2 linked regions of the Rhinolophus ferrumequinum genome follow. The main gene of each other region encodes a partner of the protein of the gene in region 2 in a complex. Links are inferred from orthologs where the notes say so. Each region holds a gene or a part of one and is shown on either strand. Other genes may lie near its edges. The genes, in order: MCM3 and GINS4.

Evidence for each region.
Region 1: GINS4 (region 2) and MCM3 share a complex: the UniProt entries of both Homo sapiens proteins name them as parts of the CMG helicase complex. The link is inferred for Rhinolophus ferrumequinum from reciprocal best matches to the Homo sapiens genes GINS4 and MCM3.

The regions. Positions count from the first base shown.
Region 1 is NC_046286.1:20,243,897-20,254,348, forward strand, and holds the start of MCM3 (DNA replication licensing factor MCM3), read right to left. Parts: upstream 4,488-10,452; 5' UTR 4,319-4,487; coding exon 4,241-4,318; intron 3,163-4,240; coding exon 3,050-3,162; intron 2,637-3,049; coding exon 2,428-2,636; intron 1,942-2,427; coding exon 1,811-1,941; intron 1-1,810. UniProt on the Homo sapiens protein: Acts as a component of the MCM2-7 complex (MCM complex) which is the replicative helicase essential for 'once per cell cycle' DNA replication initiation and elongation in eukaryotic cells.
Region 2 is NC_046287.1:58,828,443-58,839,091, forward strand, and holds the start of GINS4 (DNA replication complex GINS protein SLD5), read right to left. Parts: upstream 4,725-10,649; 5' UTR 4,575-4,724; intron 3,715-4,574; 5' UTR 3,696-3,714; coding exon 3,600-3,695; intron 1-3,599. UniProt on the Homo sapiens protein: Required for correct functioning of the GINS complex, a complex that plays an essential role in the initiation of DNA replication, and progression of DNA replication forks.

The sequences.
Region 1 (10,452 bases), on a different chromosome or scaffold from region 2:
ACCTATACACAACAACATGGATGAATTTCACAAACAGAAGCCAACGCAAGAGTACTTATTAGATAAAATATAAAAATAGGCAAAAGTAACCTATGCTGTTATACGTCAGGGTACTCAAACAGGGCAGCGTGGGCTCTCAAGAGGGACTTCTGATTGTTAGTAAGGCTCAATTTCCTGTTTTGGATGCTGATCTCACAGGTATACTCAGCTTCTGAAATTTCATCAAGCTGTACACTTCTGTGAGCCTTCCTGTATGTACGTTAAAACTTCAATAAAAACACTTTTAAAGTTTCACTTCCTTGGTATTTAATTTTCAAAAAAAAACACCACAATTACTATTACTTATTGAGTGCTTACTATGTACAAAACACTGTGCTATTACCATGGAACTGTTTCATGTAACCCTCACAACTCAGCAAAGCAGGTATTCTCCACGTTTTACAACAGATTAAAAAAATGAGGCTGGGATTGGTTAAACAAGTTCCCTCAGACATCACACCGTAAGTGGCAGAGCCGGGACTTGAGGCAGGTGAAACTCCAAAACCCAGGCTTGGAAGCACCACACTAGACACTTCCAGGAGACAAGGTCCAGTAAATTTCACGGCTCAAGGAAAGAAGCCTGGCCACAGTAATCGGTAGAACAGTACTTCTTGAGTACTTCCTGGAGAAGAAATTCTAGCACGTAGGATTCCAGAGAGCCTAGGAGTCTAAGATGACAGGAAATGCAACTGGCCTCACAGTAAAGACACAGGTCCTTCTCCTTAGGGTCATCACTAACGGAGACCATAAGCAAGTCACTTAACCTCTGAACCTCAACATGCCATCTGGAGGTACACGAAATAATTCCAAAGTAAGTTTCTGTTATAATTCTCAGATATTCCTCTTTGTTTTTTGTTGTTTACGATTCCTCCACAAGTTGGTAAAATTGAAGAACTGGGTCTTATTTATAACTGTGTCCTCCAGGATGCCTAACAATTCTTTGGATATAGTAGCTCTCAATTAAAATTTTTGATATGGGGACAGGTAGTCTTTCATAGAATGAGTTCAGACATCAAGTAATCAATATTAATCATCTTCTTTTATCTCATTAAAGTCTCGCATCATCCTCAATTCAAACTGCACACTAAGAATAAAGCCATTTCCTATGTCAACCTTCTCTTAAACCTTCAGTAAAATACCTGCAAAAAGCACATAGTAACATTATACGTGTTTTTCCATATTACTTTAAGTAATTATAAAATTATATGATTATAACTTTGCTAAAAGATTGACGTAGATTAGATGACTGTTTTCCTTCAACCCTTCCATAATTTTCTAAATTTTCTAAAGTGAATATTTATTATTTCTTTTAAAAACGTGAGCTTTCCATATTAAGCTCTGGCTAACAATCAAACTTTCCTTTAGGTTAATGCTTACTTGTCACCCTACCTACTTTTAAAAGACTTCAAATATTATCCAATTACTTGCATTTTTTTAATCTTTTTGTTTTTTAAAACATAGCAAACTTTTTTTTTTGTTAACTCTTATTTATTTTAAGTATATTATTCCAGGACCCATCAGCTCCAAGTCAAGTAGTTGTTTCAATCTAGTTGTGGAGGGTAGCAGCTCACAGTGGCCCATGTGGGGATCAAACAGGCAACCTTGTTGTGAGAAGCACCCCGCTCTAACCAACTGAGTTAAGCGGCTGCCCCCATTTATCATGTTATTACCTGTTTTAACCCAGAAAATACATTATTTGATCCAACTACGCATTAAAACAGGTATCTTTGACTACAACCTCCAAGAGGCCCAATCAATTCACTCCCCTCACCTTGGTGGGATAGACAGAGCTGGAGGGAAAGGCCACCAGGGTGGTGAGATCAGAATAACGTCGCTCTATGGTCTTCTTGGTAGCAGGACAGTAGTGGACACTGCGTACAACTTTGGGACGAACTAGAGAGCCTAGGAATAGAAAACATGCATATACAGTCATCCAACTAGACAGTGATAGAAGTGGGATCTAACGCAGGCAAGCCCATGATGACTCCAAATACTATTCCTCCAACTAGTTTCAGCTATTTCAATAATACTTGTCATTTATTTAGTTTTATATTTATATCACCATACCCGTGTAAAACTTTACATACAACTGATACCAACTAAGAAATAGACGTTCAAGGTTAGAATGAAGAGACTGCCAATACCCAAGACTCGTCCCCTCTCAGCAGAATTCATTGTTCTGCTAGCACAGGTGGGCACCCAAGGTCCCCCTCATTATTGCGCACACTCGGAGCTCCTCCAAGTTTCCCCCCATAATTTCAATGCTCCATCTTTCGGAAGCCACACACTCGCGACCCAGCTCTACTCCACCTCTCTTGCTTTCTTTTCCCAGCCCCTCTAAGAGTATCCCACCTCCGCTGCCTTAGACCCTTACGTTAACCCACTTACACTTCGTGACAATGCCCTCCACACAGACTACACAGCTAAGGAAGCAGGAAGTAAGAGTCCGGGGAGAGACATGCTTGGAGCCAAAGCTGCCCTCCAATCCTATGTAGAACTCCTCATACTGCTTCGCATAGGTAGCATCAATGGAGGCCACAAAATCCTTTAAAGCCCGTTGGAAGGCCACCAGCTCCTCAAATGCATTGCTCAGGAGGCTGCATAGGGGCAAGAGAAAGAATGATTAGGCTGGGGGCAGCACTCAAAAAAACTGACCCTCGAATCAGAAGTGGACATTCTTAGATGATCAAGAACAAGGAGTGAAAATCTAACTACTTTCTTCTGCCACCCTACAAGACTCAGGAAAATAACCAGAACTGAAGGCCAACCTCAACTCATCAAAGACGTAGAAATGATACTCAGCTAAACATGGAAGGAAGGAGAAGCTCTTGAGAGAAAAAGGCCAACCACCCACTTTGGGAAGATGAAAACATAGTAGCTGGTGAGGCAATGAGGGCTTCAAGATCAGAAACATTTCATCCAGGGCCGGTTCCAATGCAGAAAAGAGAGAGAGGAGCAATTCTCACTCAGAGCCAGCCAGGATATCCCCTTGGAATCCCTTGCCACTCACCGATTAGCCCTCTTCTCATTTTTCCTGCGCAGGTCATTCACGTTAACAATCAACCGGTACTGGTTGTCATTGATCAGCTCCCGAACTTTGTTCTGATAAATTCCCCGGTCTTCCTGCAAAATAGCCACCACATATAACAGCCACAAAATCAAAAATAAGATGTTGTTAAACAGAGGCAGCTCTCACATGAAGTCACTCTCTGCGGCAGGGCTGAACCCCAATTTCTCCCATAGTTTCACTCAGCAGCCTCAGATTCCATCTACACTGAAAAAGGACAGTGTAGGGATTATGTCTCCCTCAAGGTCCGTGCTATTATTCCCATTATCAATAGCTTTTCTGTCTGCAGTCATTTCTCAACCTTTAATGGGGAATTAAAATGAGCTCATAGGAAGTCTAAAAGGACAACAAATACTAACCTGGTTAATATGTAAATCAAACGGGCTTTTAATATTCATATTAAGATAACTTTTCATTTAAAAATTGTATACAGAATGAAAATATTTAATTTCCCGATATCTGTATAATACAGGAAGAGTTCTCATATCCAGACCTAATGGAGTTGGGAGCCTTAGATATTTCTTTACAGATACAGCATCAGCAACCCTTCAAGATGCATTACCAACATCCTAAGACCTTTACCTGCATCACAAACATTTTTTGTCTGCATCTCTCTTGGTACTGAAAAAGAATGCTCCCAAATTAGGAAGTCTTTTCCTCCCAACAGGAAGTCAGTCTCTAATCCAGTATCTGGGAACCCTACAATGCCGCGGATCACTACGGTCGAATAGCAGTACTTCCCCCCACCCTACCCCCCAAATTATGAGAATCGAGAGTGATTTCGAAGAGGTCAAAGTGGGCTTTGCCACTTTGTTTGCACTTGAAGGAAACCTGTAGCCTTTCGCGCGACTCCGCCATCACTTGTATTTAGAAGAAAGTTATAAGATCGCTAAGGCTCACCTACAGGAAACCAACTACGGACTGACTCCACCGCGAGCAAATGCACAAGACCGAGATGGAAGGTTCTTGCGCCCGCCACCTCTGCCGCGGCAGTCTGCAGGCCTGGCGGGCCTCTACCTCTCCCGGCCGGGTCGCTGCTCGGCGTGGGGCGGCGTCACGCATGGCTTCCCTCGGCCTGTCCGCGTCCCTAGGAGCTCCACGATCGAGAACCTAGCGACCGAGCGCCTCCCTCACCTCGTCATCCAAGAAGTCCAAGTAATCTCTCTGCGCCTCCCGCAGTTCCACATCGTCCAGTACCACGGTCCCTGCCATGCTGGCCGACGCCAAACTACCTCCCCGGAGCCCCGCGGCGGGTCTTCGATAGCCCCGCCCCGGCGCGAAAACAGCGGAACTTTTCCCGCCACCAAAGTTACCTCAATGAAGGGGCGGGGTCTCTGGGAGGATACACACATTCTCATTGGCTGATGCGAATAGATAGTATCCAATCGAAAGCTTCTTCTTCTTCTTCTTCTTCTCATTTACCAAGAAGCGCCGCGCGGCGGCGGGAAAGTACCATCCGGGGCGCTCTGTTCTCTCGCGGCTCCGCCCTCACTGATGAGGAAGCTGACCAATGCCGTCGAAAGGAGGCTCGTAGAGCCTGGTGATTGGGCACCCGAAGAGCCGGCGAGATCTGGAAGCGATCAATTCTGGGAATCGTAGTCTTCCCCCTTTTTCCGGATGTTTTGAGGATTTTTTTCAATCTGCGGTTCCCTCACCCTCTGAAGGGTGAACCCACTGAGCCAGGAGGTTGGATTCAAAGACTAAACGTTAGAGAATGGGGGTTTGTAACAGAAGGAAATGAAAACATAAAAGCAAATGGTTTTTAAAATGTGTTCAAATACGGTGTGCTCGATATGGTTCTTAAGCAGCTGCCCTCAAGCGGCATCCAGGGAAATACAGTGAATTTTGAGAATCTGTGGGATGGAAAATAGAGTAACAGTTTATTGAAAGATAAACACAAAGAGAAAAAAAAGTGTGCCAAGCCAACTCTTAAGAACCAATCAGTAAGATACAGCGAATCTGAAATTACAATTAAAAGATAAATTGCATTTCCAAGTTTTGTTTGTTTTTAGTTTTTTGCGGTTTCTTTACTTTTTTAGTCTTATATTTTGAGGTGTAATTTATATAAAGTAAAATACACAAAACAAGTGTACATACAGCTCAATGAATTTTTATCATGTATACACCCATGTAACCATCCAATGCACAATAAAGAATAATCTCATTGCCCCAGCGTGTGTTTTTTGTTTTTTTTATTTTTTTATTTTTTTTAATTAAAGTTTTTGTGGTGATAATTGTTAGTAAAGTTACATAGATTTCAGGTGTACAATTCTGTAATACATCATATATATATATCACATTGTATGTTCACCACCCAGAGTCAGTTCTCCTTCCATCACCATATATTTGATCCCTTTTACCCTCTTCTACCATCCCTTCCCCACCACCCTCTGGTAACCACTAAACTATTGTCTGTGTCTATGAGTTTTTGATTCTACATTTGTTTGTCTTGTTCTTTTGTTTTCAGTTTTATCTACCACATATCAGTGAAATCATATGGTTCTCAACTTTTTCTGTCTGACTTGTTTCACTCAGCACAATAATCTCAAAATCCATCCATGTTGTCAAAAATGGCACTATTTCATCTTTTCTTATGGCAGAATACTGGTATTCCATTGTGTATGTATATCACAACTTCTTTATCCATTCATCTATCAAAGGACATTTTGGTTGTTTCTATGTCTTGGCCACCGTAAATAAACTTACAATGAACATTGGAGCACATACGTCTTTATGGATAAATGTTTTCAGATTTTTTGGGTAGCTACCCAGGAGACAGATTGCTGGGTCATATGGTAATTCTATTCTTAATTTTTTGAGGAACCTCCACACTGCCTTCCATAGCGGCTGCACTAGTCTGCATTCCCACCAACACTGTATGAGGGTTCCTTTTTTCTCCACAGCCTCTCCAACACTTGTTACTATTTGTCTTGTTGATGATGGCCATTCTAACTGGGTGAGGCGATATCTCATTGTGGTTTTTATTTGCATTTCTCTGATGATTAGTGATGTTGAGCATTTTTTCATATGTCTATTGGCCATTTGTATGTCCTCTTTGGAGAAATGTCTCTTCAGGTCTTCTGCCCATTTTTTAATTGGATTGTTTGTTTTTTTGTTGTTGAGTTTTATGAGTTCCTTACATATGTTGGATATTTGTCCCTTATCGGAGGCGTTATTTGCAAAAGTCTTCCATTCAGTTGGTTGCCTCTTTATTTTGTCAATGGTTTCTTTTGCTGTGCAGAAGCTTTTTATAGTCCCATTCATTTATTTTAGCTTTTACTTCCCTTCCCTTTGAGGTCAAATTCGTAAAATGCTCTTTGAACCCAAGGTCCATAAGTTTAGTACCTATGTTTTCTTCCATGCAGTTTATTGTTTCAGGTCTTATGTTTAGGTCTTTGGTCCATTTTGAGTTAATTTTGGTTCACAGTGACAGACAGCAGTCCAGTTTCATTCTTTTGCACATGGCTTTCCAATTCTCCCAGCATCATGTATTGATGAGGCTGTCTTTTCTCCATTGTATGTTTTTGGCTTCTTTATCAAAAATTATCTGTCAATATTTATGTGGGTTTGTTTTTGGGTTCTCAATTCTATTCCATTGGTCTGTGTGTCTGTTTTTCTGCCAATACCATACTGTTTTGATTATTGTTACCATGTAGTACAAACTGAAGTCAAGGAGTGTGATACCTCCAGCATTGTTCTTTTTTCTCAGGAGTGCTTTGGCTATTCAGGGTCTTTTGAGATTCCATACAAATCTGACAATTTTTGATTCTATTTCTTTAAAAAATACTATTGGGATTTTGATGGGGATTACATTAAATCTGTATATTGCTTTGGGTAATATGGCTATTTTAACGATGTTGATTCTTCCAATCCATGAATATGAAATGTCTTTCCATTTCTTTGTGTCTTCTTCAATTACTCTTAAAAAAGTCTTATGGTTTTCAGTATATAGGTCTTTTACAGCCTTGGTTAAGTTTATTCCTAGGTATTTATTATTTTTGTTGCAATTGCAAAAGGAATTGTTTTTTTCTTTCTTTTTCTGAGATTTCATTGTTAGTATATAGGAATGCAATGGACTTTTGTACATTGATTTTGTAGCCGGCAACTTTACTGTATTTATTGTTTCTAATAGCTTTTTCGTGGAGTCTTTAGGTTTTTTTATATATAGCATCATGTCATCTGCAAAAAGTGACAATTTAGCTTCTTCATTCCCAATGTGGATGACTTTATTTCTTTCTCTTGCCTGATTGCTGGGCTAGGACTTCCAGTACTATGTTGAAAAGCAGAGGTCATAGGGGACAGCCTTGTCATGTTCCTGAACATAGAGCAAAAGGCTTCAGTATTTTACCATTAATTATGATATTAGCTGAGGGTTTGTCATATATGGCCTTTATTATGTTGTGGTATTTTCCTTCTATACCTATTTTACTAAGTGTTTTAATCATAAATGGATGTTGTATCTTGTCAAATGCTCTTTCTGTATCTATTAATATAATCAGGATTTTTTCCCTTTATTTTGTTTATGTGGTATATCACACCGATTGATTTGCGTATGTTGAACCATCCATGTGCCCCTGGGATGAACCCCACTTGGTTGTGATGTATAATCTTTTTAATGCATTGTTGCATTTGATTTGCTAGAATTTTGTTTAGGATTTTTGCATCTGTATTCATCATAGATATTGGTCTGTAGTTTTCTTTTTTTGTGTTGTCCTTACCAGGTTTTGGTATCAGGGTAATGTTGGCCTCATAAAATGAGTTAGGGAGTACTGTCTGTTCTTCCATTTTTTGGAAGAGGTTGAGTAGGACAGGTATTAGATCCTCTTTGAAGGTTTGGTAGAATTCACTAGTGAAGCCATCTGGTCCCGGACTTTTGCTTTTGGGAAGGTTTCTGATGACTGATTTAATTTCCTTACTGTTGATTGGTCTATTTAGTTTTTCCAGTTCTTCATGATTCAGCCTAGGAAGGCTATGTGTTTCTTGTCCATTTCTTTTAGGTTATTGAATTTGGTGGCGTATAGTCCTTCATAGTATTCTTGGATGATCCTTTGTATTTCTGTGACATCCATGATAACTTCCCTTCTTTCATTTCTGATTTTGTTTATTTAGGGTAACAACTTAGAGCTGATGGGCCCTGGAAAAACACATTGTTCCCCAATATTCCCCAATAAAAAAAGTATTCATTATTAATAACCCCCCTTACCTATAATTCCCTCTAACCCCTTTCATAAAAAAAAAACAACAACAACAACAACAAAAACAGGACAAATGAGTAAGACTCAGTAGAATTTACTTAAATATTAAGGGAACAGATATTTTATATTTTGAAATATTTTAATTGATTTACAAGGTGTGATCACAAAATACAGTGAATGCTTAAATCAAAAAATTTATTAGAGTGAAAGACACATTGCCATTAATCCCCCTCAAAATACTCCCCCTTGCTTCAAACACACTTATCCCATCATTCTTGCCACTTTCTGAAGCAGTTCTGGAAGTCCTCCTTCATGAGTGTCTTTACTTCATCCTCTATCATGACAATACTCCATGTCACACATCGCTTCTGGTATGGCAATTTCTGTCAAATAAAAACATTATGGTGTGTCCTCATCCACCTTATTCATAGAATCTGGCACCGTGTGACTTCTGGCTCTTCCCCAAAGTCAAATTGACCATGAAAGGTAAACATTTTGAATCAATTCAGGACATCGAGGCAGCCACGACAGCACAACTAAAGACACTCATGAAAGTGGACTCCCAGAACTGCTTCAGAAAGTGGCAAGAATGATGGGATAAGTGCGTTCACGCAAGGGGGAGTATTTTGAGGAGGATGAATGGCAATGTGTCTTTTACTGTAATAAATATTTTTTATTTAAACAATCACTGTACTATTTGATCACACCTCGTAGTTTTTGTTACTTATTTTACTGTGTAAGATATAGAAAGACCTTTCTCTGGACATGATGAATACCATCTGCTCATTTCCAGGTGGGCCAGCATCTGTATGTGTCCTATAACATTTGCTTATTCATTCATTCATTCAATTATATGTGAGCCATGTATGAGACAGTGAATTATATATTAGTTATAATCAGTTTTTATTCTACTTATCCATCAAGGAAGCTGTACATCATCATTTTGAAGTTTCAAACTATTTAAAATACCTGTCTTTATTCAGCCAACAGGGCTTTGCAATGCTAATATTTACTCACACTATAAATAATGCTGTCTGTATTTTATTCTATTATATGCAAGGTATTTATGGAGATACAAAGATCAAAACTTTATGATCTAGTATGGAAAAGAAGTACAAGCACAAATAAGCATGAGAAAAAGCATTGTGTCTTCTAGGCATGGTATAAAGTGCCATATGCATTAAAAAGGGCAAATTTACACAGGAATGATGAGGGAAAGCTAAAGAAATGGGGTCGTATTTAATTTGAGGATCAAAAGGTGTGCAGCATTTCCTCTAGGGAAATGCAGCAGCAAGGACATTTTAAGGAAAATGTAAAGGCAGAAATGACCAAGTCCTTGTCTTGAGATTAAGGTGTTTGGAATGAAGGGTGAGTGGGAGAGATGAGTACAGGGGAGGACTGGAAGCAATCGGGTGCATCAGGCCTGATTGTGGAGGACACTGACCAATGGAGTAAGACAACTGTGCTTGATTTAGGAGGCCAAAGGAAGCCGTTGATGACTTTTGAGTAAAGGAAAGACAGTTTCAAAGTTGTGCTTTAGGACCACTGGCCAGAGGATGTGTAGAATGGATTATTTAAATCAGATAAAAAGAAATGAGGCCTGGAAAGGGTGTTCAAAGAAGGGACAGATAGAAAAGAATGAGAATGAGACATTTCAGAAGAAAAATGGACAGATTAAAAGCTATTTGGATGAAAGTAGGAATGAGGGACAGAGAGGGATAAAAATTATACACACACACACAATAAATATATAATAAATACATGTGCCTCACACACAGTGCCAAAAGAGCTTACAAAATTCATCTAGATGTTCATCATCTTTATTTGGATCTTAATTTAGAATGGACAGTTGTTTTGCAGTTAAGATGCAGAGAAAAAGAAATTTAGGAGATAACCAAGTCTCCCAAAACTCCAGTAGTCAGGTGAGGAATAAACTTTGATATTTAGTTCCAAAACTTTGTCTAGGACAGTACGGAAAAAGAAAGAAAATAGTATTTTGTTGAATTTTAAAGCAAAGTATATATAAACTATACCTCAATAAAGTAAAGAGTACATAAATTATGCCTTAACTAAGTTTATTCTAAAATCTAGGCAAAGAAAATGTATCATAAAAGCACCATAGCTGTAGTTGGCGAGCTTGGGGTGGGAGGA
Region 2 (10,649 bases):
TGCAATTATGATACAATATAAAAACACTAGGGGAAAACTTATACTAATATAAAACTTTCAAATAAAATCTTTTTAAAATAGATTTTGTGTTTAAATCTATGGTGTTTTTAAAATAATCATGTTCTATATTTGAAATGGCTACCTCTGGTTCCTGATCAAAATTTTTTTTTTTTTAATTTATTGGGGTGACAATGGTTAATAAAATTACATAGGTTTCAAGTGTACAATTCTGTAATACATCATTGATGTATCACATTGCTAATTAAAAGTTTTAATGACAATGTGTTTATCACATTACACGCTAAACTGTAATAGCCTGTAAACTGTGTCCCCCGCCACCCCGCAATTCATATTGAAGTTCTAATTCCTAGCACTTCAGGATGTGACTGTATTTGGAGAAAGGGTCTTCAAAGAGGTGATATTCGTCAAGTTAAAATGAGAGTAGGTGGGCCTTTGGCCAGTATGACTGGTGCCCTTATAAGAGGAAGAAATTTGAACACAGACACACAGAAAGACCATGTGAAGACACCGTGAGAACACGGTCATCTACAAGCCCAGGAAAGAGGCCTCGGAAGAAACCAAACTATGTTGGCACCTTCATTTCAGACTTCTAACCTCCAGAGTTGAAAAAATAAATTTCTGTTCTTTAAGCCACCCAGTCTTTGATATGCAGCCTTAACAAACTAATACAATCATTAAAATGAGGAACTTCGCACTGTAGGCAATAACTTCTAAATTAATTTTTATAGGCAATCAAGAATATCCTATATGTGCTTCTAGAGCTGTGTTTATCAGGGGCCCTTGTCAGGTTGCTCATCAGGCAGTCCCATGCAGCCCGAGTCTGTGTCCAGCTGCAGCAGCTGTCCAGGTGATAGACCAACTTCTTGGCTGCATTCAGGACACTGCAAGAGAGCATCAGGCACGAGATGCAACTCATGCTTACCCACTGCCAAGCTGAGGCTGTGCTGTCAGATCCTACTGTCTTCAGGCTGCCTTCCAAGGAGCCCCTGACGACACCCACAAAAGGCAATGAGTCTGGGGGCTCTGGCTGCCCCAGAGAGTGGAGGGTAAACATCACCGAGGCGTTTGCAGTGCACTAGTTTGTGCCGTATCACCCAAGCTGGCAAGCTCTGCCTTCACAATAGTTTTGCAAGTGTTTGAGCTTTACATAAATGGTTTCTTTAGAAACATATATTTTTTTGTTCTGCGTTATATTCCTGAGTTATCCATGCTGTTGCAGGAACTATCTTTTACTCATTTTATTGCTGTTCCCCACCCCTTGTGTGTATATGCCACCATTTTTTATCCGTTCTATTGTTGAAGGATATCTGAGTAGTTGCAGTTTTTAACTGTTGTGAACAATGCTCTGAACATTCTGTGCATGTCTCCTGGAGTACACGTGAACTTGAACGTGGGTGTGTACTGGGCAGTAGAATCACTGGGCCACAAGATGTGTATGCCTTCAACTTGACTAGACAATAACAAATTATTTTCTAAAGTGACTGAACCAATTACATGCCCCCCACAGTATACATGCTCTCCATCTCTACGTCCTTGCCAATACTTTATATTGTTCATCTTTTCCATTTCTGCCAATCTGATGGGTGGGTATGCAGTGCTATCTCATTGCGATTTAAATTTTCAGTTTCCTGATTAGCAAAAAGGTTGGATGTTATTTTGATATGGTGATGGGCCATCCTGGTTTCCACTTTTGGGAGATTCCTATTAAGACTTTCATTTTTCTCCTGGTCAATTTATAAAGTTTGTGTATTATGTATACTAATCTTTTGCCAGTTATATATTTTGCAAATATTTTCCCCCAGTTCTGTGGCACGTCTTTTTATTCTCAGGAAGATGTAAAAACAGAGTTCTTAATTTTAATGTAGTTGAATATATCAGTTTTGTCCTTCATGCTTTATGCTTTTTGATTTCCATTTAATAAACCCTCTCCTAATAAAGCAGGGGCTCTTAAACTAGGGTCCCCAGACTAGGTAGGCAGATTTCAGGGTGTCTGTGAAACTCCTGAAATTAGATGTAAAATTCTATATGGGTTGTTCCTTTGATTTTGTTAGTCTTGATGGCGTGTACGTTAGAAAAGAATGAAGAACACTAAAGTAACAAACATGAGAGAATTCTGGAAAGGGGCAGTTAAAGGGAGACAACAAGGGGCCGGCCCAGTGGCTCAGGTGGTTGGAGCGCCGTGCTCCTAATGCCGAAGTTGCCAGTTCGATTCCCACATGGGCCAGTGAGCTGCGCCCTCTACAGCTAAGATTGTGAACAACGGCTCTCCCTGGAGCTGGGCTGCCGTGGGCAGGGCTGCTGCGTGCTGCCCTGTGCTGCCAGGAGTGGCCAGTGGCCAGCGTGAGCAGCCGTGGGCTGCTGTGGGCCATGAGCAGCCGACAGACAACCAGCAACCGACAGCCTCAGCCGGGGGAGTGCAAGGCTCATTAATATCAGCGTGGGCAGGGAGCTGTGTCCTACACAACTAGACTGAGAAACAACGGCTTGAACTGGAGTGGGGGGGGGAGGCGAGAAAAAGTGGGGGATAAAAAGGGGAGACAACAAGAATAAGGCAGTAATGTGTAGTGGATTAAGAGCATGAGTTTTGGAGTCAAAGAAACCTGGTTCATATCCCAGCTCTGCTGCCATTGTGTGACCTTGGGCATGTTACTTTATATCTCTAAGCTTCAGTTTCCTCATCTGTAAAATGTAGATAACAATAATACTTGCCTCACTGGGTTGTTGTAAGGATTATTACTACTCACAGCTAACATTCAGTGAGTGCTTGTCATGTCAAACAATATGCTAAGCACTTTATATATATATATATATATATATATATATATATATATAAAATCTCACTTAATCCTCACAACTCTATGAGGTAGCCACTATTATTAACTTCATTTTATAGTCAAGAAAGTGCTTGAGACAAGCTATATAACTTGCCTAAGGTTGCATAACAGACTAGTGGCATGGAGGGGTTTAAATACAGAGTCTGAACTAACTACCAGAGCTTCACAGTTAATTGTAAATAACAGTTATTAGCACACAGGAAATACTCAAACCATAGCTCTTATGACTAAAAAGAGAGACAGCCTAGAAATGATTTTAGATAAGCAATGGAAATATAGAGAATAGTTGACAAAAGAAAGTACCTGGGAGGAAAAGGAAGAGTAAGACCAGTTTAATCCTAAAAAAGGTGTTTCAGCTCTTTCTTGCTAACCCAAGCATTCTATAAGTAAACAGCAGGTGTTTCAAGGGACTAAGGCATAAAATTTACAAGTCTCCACTACAACACTTCTGTAGTCCATGAAACTACCAAGTAGCAAATCTTTGCTCTGTGAACTGTTCTACTCAATGTATCCAAAGCTGTCCCTTACTGGCCCCACTGGAGAAGTTTGTGTTTGACATGAGTTCTCTAACAAAGACTGTTCCCCCCACTTCTTATTTCTGGGCAGATGGTAAGACCCAGTCACTCTTCTCTTGAAATAAGCCTTGAATCCCATTTCATCGTTTCCTGATTCCCGACATTTGCACAGTTGGACTAAATAAAAAGGCTAAGATTGGCGCAAGGGGATTCTATTTGGGACTCTTACCTGCTCCAGCTTTTCAATGAGCTCTGCAGGAGTTAGGACCACTTCTTCACTGCCCGCATCAGAGTCCTGTGCCGTGAGATCCAGTTCCTCTGTCATCTTACCTGAAACTGGGAACCTATTAAGAATAAAAGAACCCATACCTTTCTATATGTTTTCCATTTATTTGCAAGAATAGGCAACTACATACTACAACAGGTTGTAAAGGCTCATTGGCAGTGGCTAGAGAATTCATAGGCTTTGATATTTTCAATTCTTTGCCTCCTTCAAACCTTAGGTTAGGTTATCAGTTCTCACCTCTTGTGCTTCCAGGCACAACTCTAACTGAGCACCTGTCACACCATGCAATAATTATTCGTCTTTCTGGTAGAGATCCTCTCCTCAGGGTCCTTGTTCACTTCAGTTTAAAGATGAATTACTCTGTGCCTGGCACTTGTAAGAACTGGGGACATACCATGTTTCCTGAAAATAAGACCTAGCCGGATCATCAGCTCTACTGCGTCTTTTGCAGCAAATATTAATATAAGACCTGGTCTTATTTTAATATAAGACCCGGTATAATATAATATGTAATATAAGACCGGGTCTTATATTAATTTTTGCTCCAAAAGACACATTAGAACTGATGGTCCGGCTCGGTCTTATTTTCCGGGACACACGGTAATTGCCTGTGTAGTCCCTGCGCTTAGCACAGTGCTTAACTCATAGCAGGCACTTAAAATTGTTGGGAGAACCAATCAGTGTTGCAAGGCCCAGCAACATCAGACTAGACAGCGATCCCAAAGCCCTAAGAAGATGGGTGGCAGGGACGAGAAGTCGTCCCCGGAGCCTCAGGGAAACAGAGCATATTCCTCTCCCTCCTCTCCTCTCTCGGTGCCACGAGTCTGGGTAACCACCTCCTCTAACACACACACACACACACACACAGCGCACGCGCACACACATACACACTATCAAAGGTCACACTCGGATGCTCACCTGGTCACCTAGGAGGCAGAGAGGCACCCCAAAGTAGCAGGAGATTAGGACGGGAAGCTCGTGGGGGGAGCAGCACCACTCTCCCAAGGAGAACCTGGGGGCAATTTTCTCTCCCGGACGTAATCAACCCTTCACTTCTCAGCTCCCGCGCTCCTCTTAGAAACGTTCCACCTAGCTAAACGTCACCGCGCACGAGCGGCACTGACCAATCACGACCCGGTGTCCTGGTGGCCCCCCCCAGGGGGCGGGGACTCGAGGCACTGCCGGGTGTTTTCCCTCCTTAAGACGCGGCGGGAGGCTGGTCCGAGTTAGCTCCGCCCACCTCGGCTAGCCGCGCTTGTGTGCGGTCCCGGCTAACATCCCCGAGGGACGGTCGGGAGGGGGCGCCACGCTACCGCGGCTGAGGGGACGAGGCCGTGTCTGTCTTCCGGCCATCGGGGAGCATCATCACCCGAGTATGCCCTGTCCCGTAGGGGGGACAACAGAGAAATGGCCTCTGTTAAAATCAGGTCACTTAGTGTGCTGGGTCATCTTCACCCACCAATCTTGGGCCCTTCTGGTTCCTTCATCTTTGCCGGCGCTTCAGTTATGCTACTACTTCCACGTCTAAAAACTTTTAGGCTAGTGGTTCTTAAAGTGTAGTACCAGATCACCAGCATCAAGGTTGTCTTGGAACTCGTGAGCAATGCGGATTTTCAGGCCCCACCCAGACCTGCTGAATCAGAAACTATGGGAGGTGGTTAAACAGACTCTCCAGGTGAGTCTGAAACAGATGAGGTTGGAGAACCACTGCTTTAGGCAATGCTTCCATCTCAGCTACTTGAGTCTAGGTTATTTTGACATTTACTCTTTATGCCGTCTCTACTTTAATGTAGGGCAAAACTATATACTATCTTTATCTTTTTCTTTGTGTGATGTCAGTTTTTCTTCTCTTAATTGCTGATGCTTTTCTCTCTGCTGTCTGTTTTCTGGAGAAAGTGTCACCTCTGACTCTCCTCGAAATGTGTTTTCCCTATTAGTCTGAAGACTCTTTTCTTTGCGGTGTTTCCTATGCCATATTGTTTGATTAGAAAAAAAAGTTTGGCTAAATGATAGGTTGATAGTACCTGCCTGATTGCAATCATGGTATAAAAATAATTACAATAGAATATAACTGAGTGAGAGAGTGGGCATATTTGCAAAGGGCTATGGAAGCTGGAGGACATCAAAGATGGACTCCAAAAGGAAGAAACATTTGAGTTGTGCCTTGCAAAATGAGTTTTGTTAATGACAAATAGATGGTCTTTTAAGGTCTATTTCTTTCAGCTCTGCATTTCAGTGATTTGGTAATCCAACGGTTTTTAGTTGTGGCAGATTGTATTTTCCAAAGATAGCTACTCTTATAAAGATCTCACCCCAGTACTCTTCTTACAATATGGCGTTGACACTCCTACATCGAGAGGTGGGGTCTATGTTTTTGCCTCTTTAATCTGGGAAGATCTTGGTAACTGCCTCTACCAAGAGAAGGTGGCAGAAGTGATGCTGTGTGACTTTTGGAGCTAAGTCATGAAAGGTGGTGCAGCTTCAGCCTGGCTCTCTTTCTTGAGCTACACCCTTTGGAAGCAATGAGCTGATATGTAAGAAGTCTGGCTAGCCTGTAGCTGCCATGCTGAAGGGTCCATGTGGAAAGGTCACACAGAGATAGAAAGTGATGTTCAAGGAGCCCCAGCAGCCCCAACTGTTCTGTCTTTCAGATGTCTGAGTTGAATGCACCTTCAGATGATTCTAGCTCTCAGACTTTCAGCAATCCCAGCTAACATGGAGGGAGCTGTCCCTGCAGAACTCTACCCAGATTGCAGGTCGGTAAAATATTGTTGTTTTAAGCCCCTAAGTTTTGGGATGCTTTGTTATGCAGCATTAGATGATTGGAACATTAGTATTTGAGCACAGTCCCGTTCTGTAATTCTCATTACTATCTAGCTTTTCAATGGTCTTTATTAAGATTCTTTAAGTGTTGTAGATTTGAATCTAAGCACCAATAACTACTCCACACAAGTACCAGTTACTTAGTTTACTTACTCAAACTTCCTTTCTTTGGTGCTGTCTTCTCCAATCTCCCACTGCAACTTTCTTGGGGAGGTGGAGTCTAGCTTCTGCTTCCTTATTTAATAGAGGTGCTGCCTGACACAAGTCACTTGTCTGGGCTTCAGTTGCACTGCCTATTAAGTGAGAACAATATGTACCTTCCTGCAGGTCAAAAATTGGGGATGGTGGTCTTCTTTCACTTCTAAGATCATTGATTCCAACTAACATTCATCAGACAAAACCACTTGAGAGTAAAATGAGTTTGCAGAGAAGGATTTCTGCTAGGTAAGGAAGGAGAATTTAAGGCAATGTCCAAAAACAATATATAGAGCTACCTGGGGGAGGCAGCTCAAACTTTTTGTGAAACTGTTGGTCAAGTGGCACTGTAAAGTTCAGGAAGGTGGGAGAAAAGACAGGTCATAAGTTACATTATGTAGAATGAAGAGAAAAATCCAGAAGACCTGGTTGTTGTGCACTCACTGTTAAGAAGTTTTAGAAAATAATTACATGGCGATATAAATGGCCATTCATTAAAATAATCACATAGAAAAGAGAATTACATAGGTTATGATAGGAAGATGAAGTTTGATGGTGATAAATAAAACTGTAGGACAGAATTTGTAGGCAAGTTATGATGATTAAACGAGCAAAATGAACATGCTAACATGAATTCAAACAAGCAAAACATGAAGCTACAAACATAGCAAAAAGAAAAGGCTTCTGCCCAAAGTTGAAGAGGATACATAAAATAGGACCCTATGCAATTGAAGAAGGTGAAAAGTCAATGTAATTTCCAGATAATTCTCAATGAAGAAATTTATTTCCGTTAAAGATGCAGCAAATAGAAACAGCCAAAATATTTGTGGATAGCTATGGAAATATACAATAATAAGAATGAACGTATTTTTTTTCAATCACCAAGGATAAAGATAAAGTATACATATCCATATGATATTGTGAGTCTTTTTACAGAAAGATACTTTTGAAATACAAGATAATATCATCATTATTGTTTTCATATCATCACTGCCCTTGCTCATTTGGTCAACAGCTGTTTCTCACTGTTTCCTTTCTTTGACTTTCATCACATTTTTGGTTTCACTATCCTAAGAACCAAAGAATTAAGCTTTGGGGAGTGTAGTACTTAAGCAAAGTTTAACCCCAAGTTGTTCTGAAGGAATGAAAATTTGGACTAAAGATAGGAAACTAAGAGGGCAACTTGGATTTTTTAAGGAAGGCAGAAAAGTACTCTATGAATATTTTCTTTGGCCTCACAAGAAAAGCTATTGTCTGGTGAAATTGCAAGTATTTTTCTGGCCAGTGGTAAAACGCTATACTGCTCGTGTGCCTGAGATGCTGCGAAACTCAAGAGGTCAGGGCCAGGTTTGGGTCTCTCTGACAAATGCAATATCTGGGCAACTCCTGATAGTCCTCATTCCTTTTTTCCTTTCAGACTTTAGCTGCTCATCCCTTACTCAAAGCCCATCTTTATTTCAAGCACGTTTAATTAACCCATAAATGTCCCCCATAAAGATACAAACTTTACAAATCTAAGGTTTGAGATCATCGTTTCAAGAGAGTTTACAGGTAAAGGTGAATTATGTAGCTTTGTAATATTGTTTAACTAGAAAACGTCTGTCCAAATCTTTGGTACCATGTTCTCTATTTTCTCTACCTGCTCCTTTATAGGAACATAGTGTGACTCTCCTTCCCTAAGTTTGGTCTTAATATGTTCCTAGTTTCTGGCACAGACACATAAACCTGACCTCCACCTCTGTATTTTGTCTTCTCGTGGTTAATAGGAGGATGCTTTCTTCTCATGACTGCAGTATCAGCCTTGAGAATAACAAAAAAGAGTCAGTTTGCTATGGAGGGGTCCTCATATCTTCTGAAAAGAAAGCTGACCCAGACCCCTGACTTCAAACTCTGCTCTAACCAAAGCTTCCCGAGCCTGGACAAAGACTTGTAGATGCCGTCTCCCCTCTTTGCCTCAACTTTGTCAATAGGGAAGCAGAGGCACCGATACCTGCCAAAGGCGGCTGCCTCCTCGAGCAAAGAGTAAGATGATATTCTCTCATTCCAGTGTTATTATTTTACACTCTTGAGATTTTCCTTGGCAGAGAGTAAACAGAGCACCTGTAAGCTAGTACCTCATTGTCCTCAGGCTTAGACAGCTGCACTGAAGAAGGCTGTTGGAGGATGGAGTAAATTCCCTTAAGAGAAGTAGGGAGGACATCAGGTGCTGGGGTGATTTCAGTCACTCTCTGAAAACAGTGCTGCTGATTTTCTTGTAGTTTCGGGCTTCCTCCCTTACACTATCTGCTCCAGTCGTGTCAAACTACTTTAGGACACGAGGTGTTTTGTCTCCTTTCTTTGCACATGCTGTTCCCTCTTCCTAGGCTTCTCTCTTTCCATTGAACCACCTGATGAACTCCTATTCATCCTTCAAGACTCAGCCAAGGTAACTCTTCCTCTGTGAAACCATCCTTAACATACTACCCCTTATTTAGGTCACCAGTATACCTTATACTATTCTGATATAACGTTTATCACGCTATATTGCAGTTTTAACGTGTCTGTTTCTCCCATTAGATTATGAATTCCCCGAAGGTATCCTCCAAATTGATCGCAGTGCCTGTCATTCATGCACACATTTATTTCTTCATTCAACAAATATTTCTTGAGCATCTAGTGATATTTGAGTGTCTACTACCAGGTCCTGTGTAGGTGCTAAAAACAAAGCAGTTGATGGGAAATACACACCCTGTGGAGGGAGATAGATAATAAACACGTAACAATTCTTTGTCAGGTGGTGATAAAATAAAATTGGGTAACAGAGAGTGTTGGGGTTCGGGACATTTAAATGGTTGGGATAGGCACCTGTCTTCATCCATTCGGGCTGCTATAACAAAATGCTAGCGATTAGGTGATTTATAAACAACAGAAATTTATTTCTCCCAGTTTTGGAAGCTGGATGTGCAAGATCATGGCGCTGACGGAGTCAGGGTCTGGTGAGGCCCACTTCCTGGGTGGCTGTCTTTTCACTGTAACCTCACACTGTGGAAGGGGCAAGAGAGTTTCCTGGGTCAAGTTTATAAGGGCACTAATCTCATTCATGGGGGTTCCGCCTTCATGACTTAGTCACTTCCCAAAGGCCCCGCCTCCTAATACCATCAACTAGGGGGTTAGAATTTCGATACTACATGAATTGGGGGACACAAACATTCAGCCTATAGCAGCCTCCATGAGGAGGTGACATGTGACATAGTTTTCTGGAATAAATAAATATCCAAGAAAGGTGGATGTGAAACACTGAGGAGATACAAAAACTGTACTGTCATTTGCTCACCGCAGAATAAGCAATGAGCATGAATTCTCCTTTTTTTAAAAAAAATAATCTTCTGAAAAACTATGGCAATACAGCATTTAACAGGTTAAGTAAAATGATTTTCTTAATGATTTTCTGGGTAAGAGTCAAGTAAAGAGAAATGTGACCTTTCCGTCAAGAAATTCATGTGCCTTTATTTCATGAGCATCTGATGAAAAGCTCATGTGTCTAAGTGCTGGGCAGGTCTTCATGTTTATTAGGGTCCATGTAATTTACTCTAGGGAACTGTCTTTAGGTTTAAATGAAAACCAGGCCAAACTCGGTATTTCTAAATCCTTACAGGTTAGGGCAAGCTCTTTTTTGTTTTTAAATATATAGCCGTAGGGAACGGTTTGACTATACTCAGAGGAAAAGGATAAAGGATAGCCTTGCTCAACAGTGTATCAAAATTCCACTCATTGTTTTTCATTTTAATCCTTACCTTTCTTTGTGTTAGTGGATCATAGACATGTTTTGGGCACCATTTTGAGAATGTCATATAACTAATGAAATGGGTCATTCCACTTCAGACTAAAGTTTATTACGATAATTTTTCTGTGTAGGGACAACTCTTAGAATACAATCAAGATTCATCTATACCTAGGTGGTGGTTTCCTTGAGCTGACAGATACAATGAGATTTAT